Cricetulus griseus: one gene and its partners. The protein of the gene in region 1 purifies or fractionates together with the protein of each later gene. This does not show direct contact. Links are inferred from orthologs where the notes say so. Each region holds a gene or a part of one and is shown on either strand. Other genes may lie near its edges. The genes, in order: Eif4g1, Eif4b, Eif3a, Eif3j, Mknk1 and Eif3i.

Region 1 (3,500 bases):
TCCTTCACTTGTTGTTTTTCCTCCTCCTAGCCAAGGTTATTTCCAATTTAACAGTCTCACACCACATCCCAATCTTTTCCAACTAAGGCTGTTTGTTTTCCCTTCTCTTCCAAAACAGTCTACCTGCAAACCCACCACATGAAACCCAAGTTATTCTTCTCTGATCCTCAGCTCATACCACTCCACCTCCAAGTTAAATACTCATACTTCACTTCCCCATAAAAGCTGTGCCACTGCCTTCCTTACCTGGCCGGATAATGACAGCAACCTGAGGCGACTCCCCATTAGGCTGAGGCTCCAGACCGCCTCCCGTCTGCAGGACACAAAGCAGCGTTATAAGTTTGCACTCAAGAGTTCCACACCCTTCTTTACTAGAGTCATTTCTACTTTAGCTCTGCCTAGAAATCCAGGAAAGCTGGGAAATAAAACCCTTAGGTGAAGGAAAAGATCAAGTGACTTGGGAATCCAGGACAGAATAGCTGTCCAGGCCAAGGTATCACTCCAAGAGTTGACAGTACCTGGGGAGGAGTGGGTGTGGAGGCAGTGCGGGCCCCAGACATGATCTCTTCTGTGATATCCTTCCCTCCTTGGTTTGGGTCTCGGATTCGGATCTGGGGAAAAAAAGCTACAGGATGAGTGGGAAGCAGAAGGAGCCCACCTCTCCACCCTGTCCCACTCCTAAGACTCTGGGCCAACCTCCCACCCCTACTGGGAAGCAGGTGGGTGGGTGCCAGAAACCCCATGAGTTCTACTGTCAACCCATCCGGCTGCTCTTGTAGTCGCTGCCCTAGCCCCCACCCCTAAGACTCTTGACCTCACAGAGCAGCCCTGTACATCACAATGCCCCTCCCTCCCTCCCCTCTACCCACCAGCAATCCCTAAGTCAATGGCTGCACACCCTGGGGCTCAAGACCCCCATCTAGCATCCAGCTAGCTAACTTGTGGCTGGTCGGCCTGATCTCTAGGGGTAGGGCCCAGATGCAGTGGGTGGAGCCAGGGTGACTCAGCGGCTTCCCCAGCCCTGGCACCCTATTCTGGGCACCATGCCCAGGGCTTGAGGACTGAGCAGAGGCGTAGGCCTCCACAGCTTCCAGGACTAGGGGGTGAGGAGCACAAAACAAACCATTTCCAAAGCTAACCACCAGCAACCCTAAACTGATCACAGGTCTTACGATCCTACTAGAGCCCTAGTCTCTTGGGAATTTCCCTGCTGCTCACTTTAGTCATCCTATGAGTTCCTTGTACACTGCAATCACCTTACAAGGAACCTTTGTACTCCACAGACTTGCTCTCTGCTTAAACTCAGGTAAAGGTGTATGACATTCTGCACCCACAGGCACAACATCCTAGCGATACCAGACCATGAGTTTCCCTCCCAGGTTATTCCAGATCCCCTTGCTGCTACTCACAGTTTTCCGCTCCCTCTTAGGAGCAATCTGGGGTGGCTGGTTCATCAGAACTGGGGCAGGAGCCACACTAGCAGGAAACTGCTGCACACCTTGTGCTGGATAATAGGCACCAGCTTGAGGGAAGGAAGACAGAAAGGAAGATTGGTGACAGCATCAGGACCCAAACATATACTAACATCTGCTTGAACACCTCCCACTGCAGAACCTCTCATCACACATAGCCGGCCCCCTGCCCTGCCCTACCCGCCTCCCTAGGGAATTAGGTGTCTGTCAAAGTAGGGGAACCAGTTTGAATTGCATTTACAAGAATTCCTCTCATAGACACACACACCTTGTAGGCAGGAACTCCTTCCTCTCTCTGCTACAAGGTACCTGGTTTTACCCCACCCCGGCAACACACATGTATACTCTCAACTTGAGACACAATCAGCTCTTTGGCAGGAAATGGAAAGGTTTTTCCAAACCATTCCACTCAACCTGACTCCAACTACCAATTCAGCCCTTTGCAAGGAGTAATGTAACAAAAAGTAACATTAGGCCCAAGAAAAATAAGAATTCCCTAAAGCATTGTTTCCAAAGTAGGGTGCCCTTATAACTCATCCCTAATCCCCACTTGTCCCTTTGTAAAGTACCAATGGTGATTATCTGTTTAAATCACATGTACACATATAGAAAACTATAAATGTATTAGATGAACATACTTAACATCTTCCCAATAGGAAGTTTTAGATCCTGCTGTAAGCTAGCATGGTGGCACACAATTGTAATTCCAGCAATCAGAGGCAGGGGGAAATCACTGCAAGTTTGGGGCTAGCCTGGTTTATAGAGCAAGTTCCAGGCCAAGCCAGAACTACATAATTAAGACCCTGTCTCAAAAACAAAACCAACTGCCATATAGATCAGAATAATTCTTTTTGTTTCATTTTTTTTCAAGACAGGGTTTCTCCAGAATAATTCTTTTATTGAACATAAATGAAAGATAGCTATGAAAACCACTCAAATCCATGTTATTGTCTCCCAACAATGAAAAGATACAATACAGAAAAAGTCCACTAACTTGGCTTTAAAATTGGAGCCTGTATTTCTTTCAGTTTATTCTTAACTATGTGCCTGTGTGGGGTATGTACATGCCTATAGGTACCCAGAGAGGCCAGAGACGTTGGCTCCTCCAGGCATTCAAAGTTTTAGACAGTTGTCAGGTGACTGACATGGGTCTTGTACAGAACTTGGGCCCCCTGCAAGAACCTCTAAGCCACTGAGCTCTGTATCTCCAGCTCTTTCTTTTTTAAAATGATTAGTTTATTCATCCATTTAGCATATGCATGCCTGAGTGCCATGGCTTATGAGTGGAGGTGAGAGGACAACTTAGAGGAGTCAGTTCTCTCCTTCAACCCACCCATGTCCCAGTGACCAAGCTCAGTGATCAAATGTCACCAGGCTGGGGGCAAATGCCTTTAACCACAGAGCAATCTTGAAGGCCCTGGTCCTGGTTTTATTTTCAAGACCGGGACTTAATACATAGCTGTGGCTGTCCTGGAACTCACTATGTAAAGCAGGCTGGCTTCAAACTTACAGAGGTCTGCCTGCCTCTGCCTCCCGAGTACTGGCTGGGATAAAAGGCGTATGCCACCACTCCTAACTTGATCCTATGTTTCTTGAAATGGAAAAAGATTCCAACTCTCTTGGCAAAAGATCAAAGCTTCCCTTACCAATAGGAGTTAAATAGTAGGCGCTTTTTTCTTTGTTTTGTTTTTCAAGACAGGGTTTCCCTTTGGCTTTGGAGACTGTCCAGGAACTAGCTCTTGTAGACCAAGCTGGTCTCGAACTCACAGAGATCGGCCTGCCTCCCGAGTGCTGGGATTAAAGATTTGTGCCACCAACGCCCAGCTGTAGGCACAAATTCTTATCATCTATTAATCCTATTATTTTAAAAACCAAAAGCATGCCCAGGAAGGTCTTAGAAAGCAGACCACTTAAGTGTTCCGTAGGACGCACTCTCACCCCTGCTTACCGTAGGTCCCAAACTCGGTAGGGCTTGCACCCGGATAGAAGCCTGGGGCTCCTGGCTGCACAGGGTACTGCTGTGTTGGG
Region 2 (4,190 bases), on another chromosome or scaffold:
ACATGGAAACTGGTATTGCCTCAAATGTTTGGTCTTACCTATTAGTGATTAAGTTATATCTGGCATTTTCACAGAGAACCCAAAACCCATTTCCAACTCTGGGTATGTATAATGGTCACTCAAAGTCAGTGTAATTGGAGAAAGAAGTGTGGTCAATTCCAAACTCTTCAAAGGCCAAGTAATAGGTAAACATGTGCTGTGGTAACACACTAAGCTACATTTCCCGAGTTAAGTTTAAAAAGGGGGGGGGGGGAGAGGGTCTTCCTGGGAGTGTAACACAGATAGGTGAGAAAAGGGGGAAGAGACATTACTAGGCAAACCTTTTAAATTGTGAATTGCACACCAGAGTAAAACCAAAGATTCGGCTTACTCTTAACTATTGTTTGATAGGACACAGGTAAGAGGATAACTTGGAGGAGTCTGCTCTGGCCTCCACCATGTGGATTCTGGGATCTAAACTTGACAGCCTTGGTATATCGGAGCCACGTCCTCAGTTAAGCTATGGTGTTGTCCACCACTAAGAATTTCGAAGGGGAAACACATCTAGACTTTTCACTCAGTTAAGACACTCAACTGACAAGGTAGTACACCTATGCCATTGAGTATTTTCCACCATTTAAAACAGTTTCTTAAGTTTTAGATGATGGTTTTCAACAGCAACTCCAACTTAGCGTGGCACTTTAGTATTTCCCATCTTAATGAGATCAAGAGCCTGGAGTCCCCCAAGATTTTGACCCTGCCCTGCTACATGCAAGCAATTTTTCTTCAGCTGGGAGAAATCACCAGTTCTTTACATTATCTCACAGGTTTCTTCAGTTAAGTGCTACAGTAACAAAAGCTGTTGGTATATCCTTGGTTCAGGGTTGGGAATTTATAGTTTACCCAGAGTGCTTGCCTAAACATGTGCTGGTCCATGCCTTTAATCCCAGCACTTGAGGATCTAAGTTCAAGGCCAGCTTGGTCTAAGTGAGCTTCCAATCCCCCAAAAACACAATCTTAAAAACAAAACAAAAAAAGGCTGTGTGTGTGCATGGTGCCTACTGTATCCAAAAGTTCTGCGTTTAAGGTTCAACAATGCAAGAGGGGGAAATAAAGTCTTATGCACAAATGCCATCTAAATTCAGCGAACATTTCCCAAAGACAATCATAGCCCTAGGTCCCTTGTAAGAACAGAAACGATGGATTTCTGATAAATTAAATGTTGCTGGGTGTGGTGTCTTAACACTTTAATCCCAGCACTTGAGAGGCAGAGGCAGGCTGGTCTCTGAAGAGTTTCCAGGACAGCCAAGGCTACAAAGAGAAACCTCAGACCTGAAGGGGGTGGGGAGACTGAATGTTGCCTTTAATCCTAGAACCTGGGAGGCAGTGGATCTCTGTGAGTTCCAGGCCAACCTGGTCTACCAAGCTCCAGGACAGTCAAAGCTATAGAGACCCTATCTCAAAATTGTTTGGAGGCAACAATCCAAAAAGTATTTTTTTTTTACAGACTAGAGGGTCATGTTAGAGAAAATAAAGCGTATTTCCTAAACTAAAGCTAGGTGTTTAAAAGGGCATTTTTACAAGTCCATTTAAAATGTAAAACAAAAACAAAGAAAAAGCAGCTCCCCCCCCCAAACCCACTTGCAATGAAGTGACACACACACCCCATTTTTAAAAAAGAAAACCACAGAACCTCTAGCTATTATTTTAATAGCACCTTCTGGGAAGTTTCCCAATTATCCAGGGAAACGACCAAAGCAAGCTGAATCCTGACAACTGAAAACTACCAAAAAGTCAAGCAAAATGGAAGCTGTGTAAGGCAACGACCTGCTCTTGTTCCCCACCCCTGCCTGGCATATAGTACAAACTGTTGAATGAAGAGTTGGGAAGAAAATCCACATAGGAGATAGGTGTCCATCCCTACAGCTCCGCCCTAACACGTGGGCGCACACTAGGCTCCCTACCCCCAACCATCGCAGCACCAACCTCCAAACCCAATGTGCGTTCCCTTGGAGGACAGAGGCCGGGTCACACTCCACAACCCCAAACCTACCAAAGCATAAAGTACAAGGTCACCAAGGAGCCAAACCCGGGCCCATCGGAGCTTGCCATCTGGACTCGAGCGCACGCTTCCGAGGCGAACCCTCTTCACCTCGCCTCTCGCCGCGCACGCGCACCGCCGCTTCCCCCCGCCCCTCCACGGACTCGCGCTCGCGTTCTAACCGCCCCCCCACCCCTGCCCCCACGAGGGTCCGCAACGGCCTCGCGCCTTGGAGACCGGGTCTCATGCGCTCCAGTCCGCGCGCCAACCGCCTCCGTCCTTCCTCCGCGCCTGGGCGCGGGCGCAGCGCCTCACGCCTAGGAGAAGGGCCTCGCGCGGGACTCCCGCACACCTTTCTGCGCTACCTCCTCCGACCGGAGCCGAAGCCCACCATTACTGCCTACTCCAACCGCGCGCAAGGGGGTAAAAAGGGAGTGAGGGGGAGGGGAGAGGCCTTCCCCTCCCCCTAAACATTCCGAGGCACCAGCCCGCAGCGGCTATGCCGCCAGCCTGCCGCAGCTCCCAGGTCCGAAGGGAGCCGGTGCCACCTGCCCCCCAACTCCAGCAAGGAGCGGATCAAGCCCGGAGGCTATTTCGGAGCCCGGTCCTTGGCCACGCTCGGCCGCTCACTCACCTGAGGCCGCCATGTTGGGAGAGGGAGAGAGAACGCAAAGGACCCGGATGAGGCAATCACGTGATTATAGCGGGCGCGACGGGCTTGGAGACGCGAAACCAGGAGGGGGCGGGGAACGGAGGACGGAGGCAGGAGGAGGCGGGGCGCTGCCGTGCTAGGTTCGTAAAGCAGCGCGACGAGGTGGCGCGGCGTCCGACCGGAAGACCTGCGCGACATGTGGCCGAAGGGGTGGAGTCTGAGCTGTCGCGAAACCCTACGCTTTACGTTGGGCCCGGCGCGGCGGTCAGGTCGGCTGTGCGCCCTGGGCGGGGTCTCCTGACGCACAGACTTCTGGGAGGTGGGTCGGCGCGAAGGGCGGGGCCGCACTTTCTGATTCCATGGAACCGAGCTGGCTTGGAATCTAGAATGGATGTGCCACAATTGTTTTTTTTTTGTTGTTGTTTTTTGTTTTTTTTTGTTTTTTACAAAGAGAAGATTCGGAGTTTGTTTTAAGTCGCTTTTTGTAAAGGCAAAGCAAATCTGATGTTCTGTATTATGGTTTCAATTAAGCGTGCTTTTTAGCGTGCTTAGAAGGAAAAAGAAAGTAACATTTGAACATGCTAAGGCCGTGAACTTTAGCCTCATTTAAGCCTCCAATTTACTGACAAGGTCCAGCGCCGAGTGCTAGCCACATTTCTTCCAGCCAATGCTCCATTTTTATTATATTTCACTAAGTAAAACTTTGAGCACCAACCATGTGTCAGGCACTGTTTAACAGAGGTTTGTGGATATAACAGAACAAAACTACCTTGAATAAAATATTACAAACGATAAACACAACAGGTAAGTAAGAATATTCCAAATGATAAACACTACAGGTGAGTAAGATAATAGAGTAAAAGGTGGTTGAGTGCAACTCTAGATGTTCTGCTTAGGGAAGGTCTCTGAGGAAGTGACATTTAGAATGAGCATGGTGGTGCATGCCTCTTGAGGCTAAGGCAGGAGGGTTGTTGAGAGCTGCAGGCCTTTCTGGACTACATAACGGGTTCCAGTCCAGTTTGGTATACGGAGTGAATCCTTCCATGTATTAACAAATGGGCTGGGGAGCTGGCTTAGTAAGAGGGCTTGCTGATAATGCATAAATAGGGGCCTCAGTCCTGGAACCTTGTATCCACATATTTTTTTGGTCCATGGCTACAGGAGGGTTAGTCTATAACCCTAGCATCGTGGAAGGCAGAGACAATACATTTGTGGGGCTTTCTGGCCAGCTGCTTAACACCAGGTCCAGTTCTCACTGGATTGTTTTAAGGATATGAGACAGGATACTTGGCAAGAGTCCCCTAGACTGCAGGGGTGAGCATCACCCACACCTGTGTGGACACCTACATAGATGGGGACACACACAGGTAAGCCTCCCACAAAACAGGAACAAAAAAGCTGTAGGCCCCGGGGAATGTCTTCATAATACCTTTAGAAAACCGGATACAAAGGATTGAAGATAAGGCTTATTGGTAGAAGAATGCCTAAAATGCAAGAAGCTCTGGGTTCAGTCTCTAG
Region 3 (3,500 bases), on another chromosome or scaffold:
TGGAAAGGTGTGTCAGTGATTAACAACAGCACATACTGTTCTTGTAGTTCAATGCCCTTTTACCATGTCAGGTGGCTCTAACTGCCTTCACTATCTCCAGGAGATTTGATGCCTATGGCCTCCAAGGACACCTGCATTCATTCACATGTACACACACACACATACCCACACACAGGTATGCACATACATGTCATTTTAAAATAATGAATCAAACAAACAAACAAAAAAAAGAGCTAAACTAAATGACAGACTTACCACAGGCTAAAACAGAAAGCAGAGAACTCATAAATTAAGATATTTAAGATGGTGGTCACAGAGCAGGTATTTATTTGGAGAGGAGGAAACAGTAAGTTTAAGTGTCAAGTGAAGCACTCTCAGAGTAGAGTTGACTAGAAGAACAAAATTGAGATCCTCAATAGGATCCCATTGGTGGACCGTTGTTTTAACAAATATTTAATATTTTTCATTTAAAAGTCACTGCATAGGCACTCAAGGAAAAAAACTACCTACATAAAAAAATAAAGAATACAGTACAACTGTCATGTAGCCATACAATTTCATTTTTTACACAAAAAACAGGATTCTGCAGGGCGTTGGTGGTGCAGGCCTTTAATCCCAGCACTCGGGAGGCAGAAGCAGGTAGATCTCTGAGTCTGAGTGCCAGGATAGGCTCCAAAGCTACACAAAGAAACCCTGTATGGGGTGGGGCAGGGGGAGGGGGGGAGAGGGCAGGATTCCATAAAGCATCTAATTTTCTAAATATTAAATCTTACCTGGCTTGACGAATGGTCTCCAAGGGCCAGGTCTTGCATCATCACCTCGCCTGGGAATCCTATCATCATCCATATTTCTCCAAGGCCCCCGGTCATCATCTGCACCTCGCCTGGGAATTCTATCATCATCGGCATTCCTCCAAGGTCCTCGGTCATCATCCAACCCTCGCCTGGGGCCCCGGTCATCATCCATGCCCCTCCTGGGACCCCGGTCATCATCAGCATTACGCCAGGATGACCGTTCATCATCAGCACCTCCTCTTCTCGGCCCCCGCTCCTCATCCATCCCACGTCTAGGTCCTCTGTCCTCATCTGCTGTGCGCCAGCTTCCTCTGTCATCATCCAGTCCCCGTCTCAGTGGTCTGTCATCATCCAGTCCCCGTCTCAGTGGTCTGTCATCATCCAGTCCCCGTCTGGGTGGTCTGTCATCATCTGTGTGACGCCAGCTTCCCCTATCATCATCACCAATTCGCCTGGGAGGCCTGTCGTCATCTGCATTACGCCAGGATGGACGGTCATCATCTGTTCCTCTACGAGAAAATCTATCTTCATCGGGACCACGCCTAGGCCCTCTGTCATCATCCAGGCCACGCCTGGGGATTCGATCATCATCTGGTCTAAGAGAAGATTCTCTCTCTTCATCATCCCCCAAGCGTCTCAGGCGGTCTTCATCTCTCCTGTGAGGTCTCTCATCATCCCGAGTCTCTCCTCGTCTCCACTCCCTAAAGAGCAACAAGTTACAAGCTTTACAAGCTAATTTTTCACCAGGTGGTGGTGGCACATGCCTTTAACCCCAGCACTCGGGAGGCAGAGGGGGCGGATCTCTGGGAGTTTGAGACCAGCCTCATCTACAAGAGCTAGTTCCAGGACAGTCTTGAAAACCACAGAGAAACCCTGTCTCGAAAAAGCAAAAAAAAAAAAAAAAAAAAAAAAAAACAAAAGCAAATTTTTCAGAAACCATATGGATCCTTGATTTCACTCATTCTTACAAATCATTAAGTCTAAATTCATTCAGTGTCATCCTTTAAAAATGTTTTCCAAGCCGGGAGTTGGTGGTGCATGCCTTTAATCCCAGCACTCGGGAGGCAGAGGCAGGTGGATCTCTGTGAGTTCGAGGTCTGGTCTCCAGAGCGAGTGCCAGGATAGACTCCAAAGCTACACAAAGAAACCCTGTCTCTAAAAAACCAAAAAAAATCTTTTCCAAATAAAAATTATACAAAATCTAGTACCTTAAATATACTAACATTAGACAACAGCCTACAATTACCTATTGCTTCCCAAGAGGACTTGCAAAGTTCTTTACGTTTTACAATGAGCTTTTCTCTAAACAATTTCTACATAAAAACACACTTCCTACCACTAGTAATAACCATAAAAAACAGCTTAAAAACTGAGCATGTAGCTATATTACAACTTCTAGGAGAAGTTGTACAACAAGGTTCTATCTCTAATACTACTAAAAAAGTTTTTTAAAATAATGTTCAGTCGAGCATTGGTGGCTCATGCCTTTAATCCCAGCACTGGGGTGGCAGAGGCAGGCAGATCTTTGAGAGTTCAAGGCCAGCCTTGTCTACAAAGCAAGTTCCAGGACAACCTCCAAAGCAATACAGAGAAAGGCTGTCATGAGTGAATGAATGTTCTGCCATTAGAAAAATGACATGGACAGGTATTTTTGTTTGTTTGTTTGTTTGTTTTTGGGGGGTGTCTCTGTGTAGCCCTAGCATCCTAGAACTAACTCGCCTGCCTGTCTCATGAGTGCTGAGATAAAGTGTGTCCCACCACAACATAGCATATTTCATTCTTACTCTTTAAACTCAATGTTGTTGGAATCTGATGGATGTATTTCTCGGATTTGTATGGGTCAGTCATCAGAGCGATGTTGAAGGGGAGAAGGGGAGAACCTACAAAGTCTGATTAACAGTAAAACCAGATATGGTGGCACAAGCTTTTATATATAACAATAGGGAGGTCAAGATAATATTGGGAGTTCAAGGTCATCTTAAACCTACACAGGACCCTGACCTTTGCTCAAATAACAGGTGGATCTGCATACCCTCCTATAATTAAAATCTGATTTTAAAATCAGGATACCAAGACCCAAGACTGTTCCCATGAATCCACTTACTTCTCTGGCGGGCCTCTCCTCCACTCAGAGTCAGCTTCTGGCCCTTTCCTCCATGTACCTTCTGAATCTCTGTCTCCCCACCGAGAGTCCTGCACCCACAAAGCAAAGAGGCATCATTGTAATAAAAGTTATCTATCACTCAAGCATTCCATTCTTTCATTAGACCCCAAGATCCTAAAATAAAAGTCTCTGGTTGAGGGAGGCTACGCAACCTTTTCACTGTGAAGCCAGTCTTGGCTGTCTAAGACCTGTCCTTCCACAAAAATAAAAAAACCAGGCACTGGAAGAGCTCAGTGGTTAAGTACATGTACCGCTCTTCCTGAGGATTAGAGTTGAGTTCCCAGCAAGAGATGCCTCACAAGTTTATCTGTAACTCCAGGTCCAGTGAATCCAACAAGTTGGTGAGCACCTGCACTCATGTGCACACACCCACATGCACATGATTAAAAATACATTTAAAAAAATGGAAAAATATAATCAGCAACCAGGCAGTGTTTAAGGGGCAAAGCAGTCGCTCAGAGTGGCTAAAACACAAGCTGACAGCTGAAACTGGTGAAAAGGCCTCACCAAGTATGTTTGCCTTTGGCTCTTAGTAATGAGTA
Region 4 (2,778 bases), on another chromosome or scaffold:
AAGTAGCCATCCCCAAATATTCAAACTGGAGATATTTGCTAAAAAAGGAAATCCCAAGTCTGTATTATAGCATTAAAGCTATAGAAAAACAAAACAAACAGTAACAACAAAAAAAGTTTCCCAAGTATGTTAAGAATATAGTCTTAACAAAGGGGGCAGAAATCAGCATCACTTACATGAAATACAGACATCTCGAACTAAGGCTTCCAAAAAACTGGCATAATATAGTGATTTTTCATATTGCGTAATTTTATCTTTTAGTAATTTTCCAAATTCTGTGAAGTCATCTCTTGAAGATGGGTTCATAGCATCTATTCCATAACCTGTATTATTAACACCTGCAGGAGAAAAGAGCTGAAGCATTAGAAGACAATCATTTTCATCAATAGGGGCTAGAATGGCTCTCTGGGTAAGAAGAGCTTTACCCATGTAAAGATGATTACACAACAAAACTGTCTTCTGACTTCAACACAACCCTCTCTGTAACAAAAACCTTAAAGTTCATTAACCAAGTTGCTATCAAAATCAGTTTTATTCTAAAGCAGGACTTTAAACAAACTGTCATATTGTGTGTGCACATGCCACCATGACCTGCATGTGTAAATCAGAGGATAAACTTTCACTCCTTCCATCAATATGTGCCCTGGGGTATCAAACTCAGGTTATCAGGCTTAATACCCACTGAGCCACCATTCCATCGCTAGGAAACTTTACAAACTACTGAGCTTTTTAACAAGAAAAGAAAAAAATCTATCTTGAATTTTACTAGCCTCCAATTCAGCATTTTCGCCTATTTTAATTTTAGGCAAAAACATTTAAAAAAAACCCTTCGGAGTACACTGCAGCTGGAGCAGATATCCCCACCACTGTCTGATCAGTACTGTCAAGCACTACTATTAAAAAGCACCTGGCGGCCTGGCGTTGATGGCGCATGCCTGTGATCCCAGCACTGGGGAGGCAGAGGCAGGTGGATCTCTATGAGTTCCAGGACAGCCAGAGCTGTTACACAGAGAAACCCTATCTTGAAAAGACAAAACAAAACACATGAAGTTGAGTAGTTATGAACATTCATACTCCCAGCTTGGGAGGATGGAGAATTCAAGGCCAGCCTGGCAAAAACCCATCTCAAAAAAGAAACAAAACAACCAACAACCAAATTAATAAAACTATATATGGGCTGGGAATGTAGCTCAGGTAGTGTTTGCCTAACATGTATGAAGACCTGAGTTCAATCCCCTGCACTAGAAACTAAAAATCTTTACTTTTATCATGGATTTGTTTTGTGATTTGATTCCTGTTTCAATTGAACAGGTTTCCTTTGTTAAAAATAAAGTGTTAGAAAACACCTTTAATCCCAGCATTCAGAAGTAGATGCAAGCTTCTCTGTGAGTTCTAAGCCAACCTGGCCTACAGAGTGAGTTCCAGACCAGCCAGAGCTACACAGAGACCCTGTCTCAAAAACAAAAGCCATACTAAAAAAGGACCCACAGAATTTACTAGCTGTCCAAAAAAGGATGCTCTCAAAAGATCTGTCCAAGAAAAACAAAAGAGATAGAGTGGGAGAAGGCTCAGTAGGTAAAGATATTTGTCACCAAGCGTGACCACCTATATTCAATCCCCTGAACTCCCATGGCAGGAGAGAAGCAACTCCACAAGTTGTCCTCTGGCTTCCAAGGCATCCTTGGGCAAAGATGGGTAAGGATAACAAAAAAGATGGATACAATAAAAATAACCAGCTAACCCCAAAAATTAAACAGAAGTAACCATGTGTTAAAAAAAACGTGGTGGCGCACGCCTTTAATCCCAGCACTCGGGAGGCAGAGGCAGGTGGATCTCTGTGAGTTCGAGGCCAGCCTGGTCTCCAGAGCGAGTGCCAGTATAGGCTCCAAAGCTACACGGAGAAACCCTGTCTCGAAGAAGAAAAAAAAAAAAAAAAAAAAAAAAAACACCGAGAGAAAATAAATCTAGCCTAAAAGAATTCTAGGCGAAAAGTATGATTATGTATATACCTTTTTCAAGGTCAATAAATGACCTAGCAAAACTACAGATTCAGCATTGTAAGTGCAAGAAACAGTAAATTCCTACTAACCAAACAATGACTGTGTTATTTCATTTTTCACTTCTTAATTTGTAACTGGTATCCCATGAGATTTTCTATTCTGAACACACATGGGCTGCCATGAATAGAGGAACACCCACATTCACAGCTGAAATTGCTAGAGACCCACTGAAGAGTATGGTCAGACTTTCCTAAAGGGGAACAAGCAAGTCTCTTGTGTTCTAGAGAAGGCCTTGGGTGAATTTTTTCACAGGGTAATGACAAATTTGACAAATGAAGTATTCTGGATTTCTCTACTATGTCTTTTAACTCTTCCTTAGGTAGCTGGCTAGTTTTTAAATCAACACGACACAAACTAAAGTCCTTTGTTTAGTGGAAACCTCAACCAAGAAAAGAAAATGACCCCACCAGATTGGCCTATGGCCCATTTTCTTGATTTCTGATTTATGTGGGACAGCCCAGCTAGATGTGGGCAGTGCCACTCCTGAGCAGGTGATCCTGGGAACTGTAAGAAAGCAGACTTACTGAGAGCAGGCCAGTAAGCAGCAATCCTCCATGGCTTTTGCTTTACTTCCTGCCCTGACTTCCTAAGCTGTTAAGATAACTGATGGCCCTGAAAGATGGTGTACTATAAAGGCCAAGAAAAAGAAACAACTCCGAACACAAGGCAAAGCCAAAACTGAATATTCTACATGGACTAACATGTTCTGCCCAAGTCC
Region 5 (2,740 bases), on another chromosome or scaffold:
ATCAACAAGGCCCTGACTTCAGTTTCCAGCACTTAAAACAGAAAAGAGAGAGAAATATAATTCCATAGTGTACAAACATCAGAGATAACACTGGGTGATACCATCATGTGCGCTTGTCAGCAACTGAAATGCCCTGCAGTCTGTGACTGTGCTAGATCCATAGTCTTTACAAACAAATTTAAGTTTTCCAGCCCCCATTTTAGAGATGGAAAAGGCAAGAATCAGTGGGCTCAAATTAACTTGTGCTGGGACCCATAGCAGCTCTGGATAAATTTCTACCAAGCTCTGCCCACAGAGCTGGAGCTAAGCTGAACAGAAACCCCCTTAGGGACCCAACCTTGTGCAAACCCATGTTCAGCATCCATGGGGCTCTGGACCACTGCAGCTCTTAGGAGAAACTACCCAGAATAGTCTCCCTTTGTCCACCCCAGGCTGCCTCCACACAGCTGGCTTCCCACTTGACTAAAGCTGTTGCAGATGCCTCCAAGTGCCAAACCCTGGGTCCCTCTTAGATGATTATTCAACAGACCCAAAGTGTCTGGCAGATGCTTGCCCTGGACTGGGTTCTAGAAGCACAGAGATAAATAGCTCAGGCCCTGTACTAGAGCCCCTCCCCGCAGGAAAACAGAGACAAGTGCAGCCTCTTGGCGTGGGAAGAGCCTGGAGGTGGGTGCTCTGAGAAGAGGCCATTTGCCCTGACTGTCCAGCCCATGAGGCTCAAAGGCCTTTCTTATCTTAGTCAAGCAAGGTTCCAAACCCAGGCAAAGCCACTTTGGAGAGAGCAGCTGACCCAGGAAAATATGCTGGATTGTAGGACCTAGCTGTGAGTGGGTGCATCTGCCAGCCTGCCTGCTTGATCTCAATCCTGCTGCCCTCTTCTCCATGCCTTTCCTGGTCCCTACAGAAACAGCAGCACCATGGACCTGACACTCTTCGCAGCCGAGGCAATTGCCCTTAACCGCCAGCTGTCTCAGCATGAGGAGAACGAACTGGCTGAGGAACCTGAGGCCCTTGCTGAGGGCCTCTGCTCCATGAAGCTGTCCCCTCCTTCCAAATCTCGCCTGGCACGAAGGCGAGCCCTGGCCCAGGCTGGACGAAGCAGGGATGCAAACCCATGTTCAACATCCATGGGGCTCTGAACCACTGCAGGCACATCTTGTAGGCCAGTCCGGGCGATGCCCCCTGGAAACCTGTGAGGTCAAAGAATGAAGCAAGCAGAGGGACCTACCTGCCCTGCAGCTCCAGGCGGGCCTTTTCCATCCACAAAGGCTCCATGGGTTCCCACCCATCCCCCATTTCCCTTGGGTCCTTAGAGGAAAAAGCTTTTTCCAAAGGGGTTGTCTTTGAAAAGGAAAGCAATCACTTGTCACTTTGCATAATCGCCTGCAGCATGAACATCTCTTTGCTGGGCTCCAAGTGCTCGCTGTGTGCAGATCCCGGATCCAGCTGGCGGTGGGGGCTGCTGGGGCCGCAGCCTTCAGGGAGCAGCTTCCCGGAGCTGACAGAGGCTGCTGACACACATGCCTCTTCTCTCCCTGCACTGTCACCTTCTGGCAATTCTTCCACCTTCCTCTGTCCTACAGACGTCCTCGCTGACTGTCCTCTCCCTGGCTGAGCAAAGCCATCCCCTCAATTCAGGAAGGGCAGGAAGCCAGATCAGTCTTCCAGTCTGTAGCACAGAGAAGCACATAATCTTTCTTTGCCGTGACCGAAATGTATTCCTCATTTATCATCCTCTTCCATGTTTGGGATTGCTGATAGACTCAGTATTATTTCTTTTTTAAAATATTTTTTAACCATGTCTTCCAGCAAGCATAGAACTTCAAACTCCCACTGCAAGTCCATGGACTTCCCCAAGCAGGGTTTCCATGTGCTTGGGTTTTAATCCCCTCTTCTCCACAGTCCCAACTGATTTTAAGCTGTTACTATGACATACACTTTAGAGATGGTGTCTTCGTCTGCTGCTGCCTTCTCCCAGGTCTTTTATGGAAACAGGCACAAACCCAGGGCAGTTAGACTGCTGTGCCTGACATGAACCTAGGTCACAGGCGGCCCTGCTGCCTTGCTCTGAGGGATGCAGTGCCCTCAGCTCCAGACATGGTGGTGTAGCCATTGTCATATATACTGTGGAGTCGCATAAAGAAAACAGATTTGCATATGTGACACACACATTATTCAACCACAATCACCAAAATTCTCTCTTAAATTGCGTTTGTTTTAATAAATAATTTAAAATTCCATCTGACAGCCTTGGTGGTCCTTTCTTCAATGGCAAACTTGAAGAGGAGGCAGGCCTCCAGGATGGGGCCTGAGCCTAGTCAGATTATGGGAAGGACTCCCAAGTATAATAGCACATTTGATCCACAAGGTGAGATGGAGAGCTTTGCTTCTCTGTTTGTAGATGAGGAAATGAAATTCATCCAACACCACTTCTACAATAAATGATTCTGCTTTTTAACAGTTGTATGTCGAGAAGAGGTTGCAATTAGGTCAGTAGTCATCACACAAGCAGACTTGAGAAGGAGCTATGATAGATGACCCTGTACCCATCCACAAAAGACCATATTTCTCTGTCTAAAGCATTACTATGCTTTTATTGAGGACCTGCTGTATGCCCAAGACTGAACTTGTCCTACCAGAGCTGATGACAACGAGAAATGGTGCCTCCCACCCACAGCCAGACTAGAGACCAAGGAGGTGCAAAGAAGGAATCTGGATGGGCTCAGGGTTCAGGTCATGG
Region 6 (3,091 bases), on another chromosome or scaffold:
GAAACCCTGTCTCAAAAAACCAAAAAAAAAAAAAAAAAAAATTCCAGACTTGAGGGGAGCTGAGGTGAGACACACCTTTAATCCCATTACTTGGGGGCCAATGGCAGGTGGATCTGAGTTTGAGGTCTATGTAGCCAGTTCCAGGCCAGCCGGGTAAAGGTGAAATGTTGTCTCAAAAAAAAAAAAAAAAAAAAAAAATTTCCAGGTGTGCCTATGCTACAGAGTGAGTTTAGGGCCAACCTTAGAAGTTTAGTGGAGAGAGATGCCACAGTGGTTAAGAATGTTTGCTCCTTTTGCCAAGGACCTGAGTTCTGTTCCTAGCACTACATCGGGCAGTTCACAGTTGCCTGGGACTCCAGTTCTAGGGGGATTCAGTGTTGCCTGGCCTGTGGACACTGACACATGTCCTTGGACACATATCCATACACATATTTTTTTGTTTTTTTGAGACAGGGTTTCTCTGTGTAGCCTTGAGTGTCCTGCACCTTGCTGTATAGACCAAACTGGCCTTGAACTCACAGAGATCCCCCTGCCTCCTGAATACTGAGGTTAAAGTCATGCATCAACACTGTTCAGTGTTTGAGTACTTGGGGTATTTGGGGTCGATCAATCCCAAAAATAAAGCTGGCATGGGGTTAGATTGAGGTAAGAAAGGTATAAAATGAAAAGTCTAGCTTGTCTGAAGTTTCTAGGGGAATAGTGGCTTGGGACTCCAGCAAGTCTCTTCTTCCTCCTCCAGTCTGGGGAGGTGTTGGTGAGCGTTAAGGAACACTCCCGGCAGATCAATGACATCCAGCTATCTAGAGACATGACCATGTTTGTCACCGCGTCCAAGGACAACACAGCTAAGGTCAGCCTGGGTATGGGTCTGGTGGAGCTTTGTTTGCCCCTCTGCTGCACATTCAACCAGTCTGACCTGCCCAAAAAGTTGCCCAACCCAGATTCTCCTCCTCCCTTCTCTCCAGCTCTTTGACTCCACGAGTCTTGAACATCAGAAGACTTTCCGAACAGAACGTCCCGTCAACTCGGCTGCCCTCTCTCCCAACTATGACCATGTAAGAAGACCCCACTCATGCTTCCTGCTTCTGGAGTCTGAGTATATGACCAATGCTAGGGCTGTAATTGTTGGGGAATAGTGTCAGAGAAGGGGCACCTAGGATTGTTACAGTGCTGATTGATTGGGCTTAGGGAAGTGAGCTGGGGAAACCTGACATGACTACTCATCCCTTTCTTGAGGATACTCCTGCTGTGGGTGGGAGACCTCAGCCAAGGACAGAAACCTGTAAATAAGTCCTGGTTGTACCTGAACTTTCCTTTCCTTTCCTTTCCTTTTCTTCTCTGCCCCCCCCCTTTTTTTTTCTTTTTTGGTTTTTCAAGACAGGTTTTCTCGGAACCTGTGTAGCTGGCCTCAAACTCACAGAGATCCTCCTGCCTCTGCCTCCCAAGTGCTGGGATTAAAGGCATATGCCGTCACCATCTTTCTGAACTTTCTTTTCTTTAGGTGGTGCTAGGAGGTGGCCAGGAAGCCATGGATGTGACCACAACTTCCACCAGGATTGGCAAGTTTGAAGCCAGGTAAAGGGGAAGCAAGCTCTTCCATATTGAAACCACATAAGGATTGTGACAGATGTCTAATACAGGAAATGAGGACAGCTGGGCATCTGTCTGGCTAAAGTGCCCTGCTGGCAAACCAGGTGCGTCCCTAGCACTACCATTGGGCCGTGGCCCCAAGCCTCTAACACAGTTCCAGTCACTCCAGAGATGGAAGAGCGTGAGTTTCAAAGTCATCCTTGGCCTCAGCCAACTCCTAGCTCACTTGGCTACACAGGACCCTATCTCTAAACAACAGCAGAGATCATGAACTCAGGGCCTAGATGAGCCTGTCTTTTTCTCTGTGCCTGTGATTTCCAACTGTTTAATGGCCAGAGATAGTGTACTCTCCTCAGAAATGTGTGCAGATTAAGTAAATGATTAATATTTAGTAAACTTTAGAGCACTGCCCAGTACATGCCTGGTGTTTGTTGTATATTGAAGCAGACAATTGGGCAGTCTTCCTATAACTTCATTATTTCTTTCCATCTCCTAATTTCTCTACTTTATTAATTTTGTTACGTAGAATACTGTCCTCAACAGTCTTCATTTTTTCAGAGTGCTGCCTCAAGTGTGTTTGAGGAGATGGAGACTAAATAACTGCTCTCCTACCCACCCTCTCTTCCAGGTTCTTCCATCTGGCTTTTGAAGAGGAGTTTGGAAGAGTCAAGGGCCACTTTGGACCTATCAACAGTGTTGCCTTTCATCCTGATGGCAAGAGGTATGGCCCCATTGAAGGGAGTGATCTCAGCGGCCGGGGGTCTCTGCCTGTTTGCTCTGTCTGGCTGCCCAGACTTCCCTTCTCAGCAGCATCTGATCATCACTGCCCATCTCTTAACAGCTACAGCAGCGGTGGTGAAGATGGTTACGTCCGCATCCATTACTTCGACCCGCAGTACTTTGAGTTTGAGTTTGAGGCCTGAAGCTGGATCTCCATCCACCGGGGAGGCTGCTCAAGAGGGTTTTAGACTCTTTAGAAATAAATTAGTTTGGTAAAAATAGTTTCTGGTCAGCCATTTTGCACAGCTTGTCAGGTTCTCCTGCTTCACTGACCCTCTGCTGGCTGAAAGTAATAGGAATACTTTGTTCTGCAGGCTTTCTCTCTGCACCCAGACTCTGCATTGCTCTGGGCTAGCCTGTGTAGCTGGCACTTTTCATCCACCACGGTCAAGAAGCCGCTGCCTAAGAAAGGGCTCAGGCTGATGCATGCTATAGTCTGAGAACCTTCCCTCTTCCTTTTCTGTGGATTTGATGGCTCGGGTGAGCGGGGCCAACTGGACCAGCACAGAAAAGGGGCTGAGGAAACAGAAAGGTAAGGAAGCCCAGCAGGGAGAGAATTCTCCAGGGGAATGCTTAGGGCTTACCTCACCATAGGCTCAGGCTCTGGGGCTCCACAGAAAGCAATGTGGCTAAGGAGTTGAAGAGTAGTTGAACTGAAGGTGGCTCTCAGTTCTAGCACCCACGTTGGGCAACTCAGAACTACCAGTAACCTCAGTTTAAT

The links.
Region 2: the proteins of Eif4g1 (region 1) and Eif4b fractionate together in Homo sapiens (co-fractionation; 4 studies listed by BioGRID, with this or other methods). This does not show direct contact. The link is inferred for Cricetulus griseus from reciprocal best matches to the Homo sapiens genes EIF4G1 and EIF4B.
Region 3: the proteins of Eif4g1 (region 1) and Eif3a purify together in Homo sapiens (affinity purification with western blotting; 4 studies listed by BioGRID, with this or other methods). This does not show direct contact. The link is inferred for Cricetulus griseus from reciprocal best matches to the Homo sapiens genes EIF4G1 and EIF3A.
Region 4: the proteins of Eif4g1 (region 1) and Eif3j purify together in Homo sapiens (affinity purification with western blotting; 3 studies listed by BioGRID and IntAct, with this or other methods). This does not show direct contact. The link is inferred for Cricetulus griseus from reciprocal best matches to the Homo sapiens genes EIF4G1 and EIF3J.
Region 5: the proteins of Eif4g1 (region 1) and Mknk1 purify together in Homo sapiens (affinity purification with western blotting; 3 studies listed by BioGRID and IntAct, with this or other methods). This does not show direct contact. The link is inferred for Cricetulus griseus from reciprocal best matches to the Homo sapiens genes EIF4G1 and MKNK1.
Region 6: the proteins of Eif4g1 (region 1) and Eif3i purify together in Homo sapiens (affinity purification with mass spectrometry; 5 studies listed by BioGRID and IntAct, counting the BioPlex papers as one, with this or other methods). This does not show direct contact. The link is inferred for Cricetulus griseus from reciprocal best matches to the Homo sapiens genes EIF4G1 and EIF3I.

Annotation. Positions count from the first base shown.
Region 1 is NC_048597.1:67,973,473-67,976,972, forward strand, and holds part of Eif4g1 (eukaryotic translation initiation factor 4 gamma 1), read right to left. Parts: coding exon 3,421-3,500; intron 1,523-3,420; coding exon 1,410-1,522; intron 612-1,409; coding exon 519-611; intron 314-518; coding exon 247-313; intron 1-246.
Region 2 is NC_048595.1:398,468,281-398,472,470, reverse strand, and holds the start of Eif4b (eukaryotic translation initiation factor 4B), read right to left. Parts: upstream 2,801-4,190; 5' UTR 2,668-2,800; coding exon 2,655-2,667; intron 1-2,654. UniProt on the Homo sapiens protein: Required for the binding of mRNA to ribosomes. Functions in close association with EIF4-F and EIF4-A. Binds near the 5'-terminal cap of mRNA in presence of EIF-4F and ATP.
Region 3 is NC_048596.1:552,983-556,482, reverse strand, and holds part of Eif3a (eukaryotic translation initiation factor 3 subunit A), read right to left. Parts: intron 2,988-3,500; coding exon 2,899-2,987; intron 1,496-2,898; coding exon 774-1,495; intron 1-773. UniProt on the Homo sapiens protein: RNA-binding component of the eukaryotic translation initiation factor 3 (eIF-3) complex, which is required for several steps in the initiation of protein synthesis.
Region 4 is NC_048599.1:56,393,410-56,396,187, forward strand, and holds part of Eif3j (eukaryotic translation initiation factor 3 subunit J), read right to left. Parts: intron 339-2,778; coding exon 177-338; intron 1-176. UniProt on the Homo sapiens protein: Component of the eukaryotic translation initiation factor 3 (eIF-3) complex, which is required for several steps in the initiation of protein synthesis.
Region 5 is NC_048595.1:36,459,606-36,462,345, reverse strand, and holds the end of Mknk1 (MAP kinase-interacting serine/threonine-protein kinase 1), read left to right. Parts: intron 1-904; coding exon 905-1,139; 3' UTR 1,140-2,240; downstream 2,241-2,740. UniProt on the Homo sapiens protein: May play a role in the response to environmental stress and cytokines. Appears to regulate translation by phosphorylating EIF4E, thus increasing the affinity of this protein for the 7-methylguanosine-containing mRNA cap.
Region 6 is NC_048595.1:23,441,453-23,444,543, forward strand, and holds the end of Eif3i (eukaryotic translation initiation factor 3 subunit I), read left to right. Parts: intron 1-739; coding exon 740-850; intron 851-965; coding exon 966-1,055; intron 1,056-1,501; coding exon 1,502-1,575; intron 1,576-2,218; coding exon 2,219-2,311; intron 2,312-2,431; coding exon 2,432-2,513; 3' UTR 2,514-2,591; downstream 2,592-3,091. UniProt on the Homo sapiens protein: Component of the eukaryotic translation initiation factor 3 (eIF-3) complex, which is required for several steps in the initiation of protein synthesis.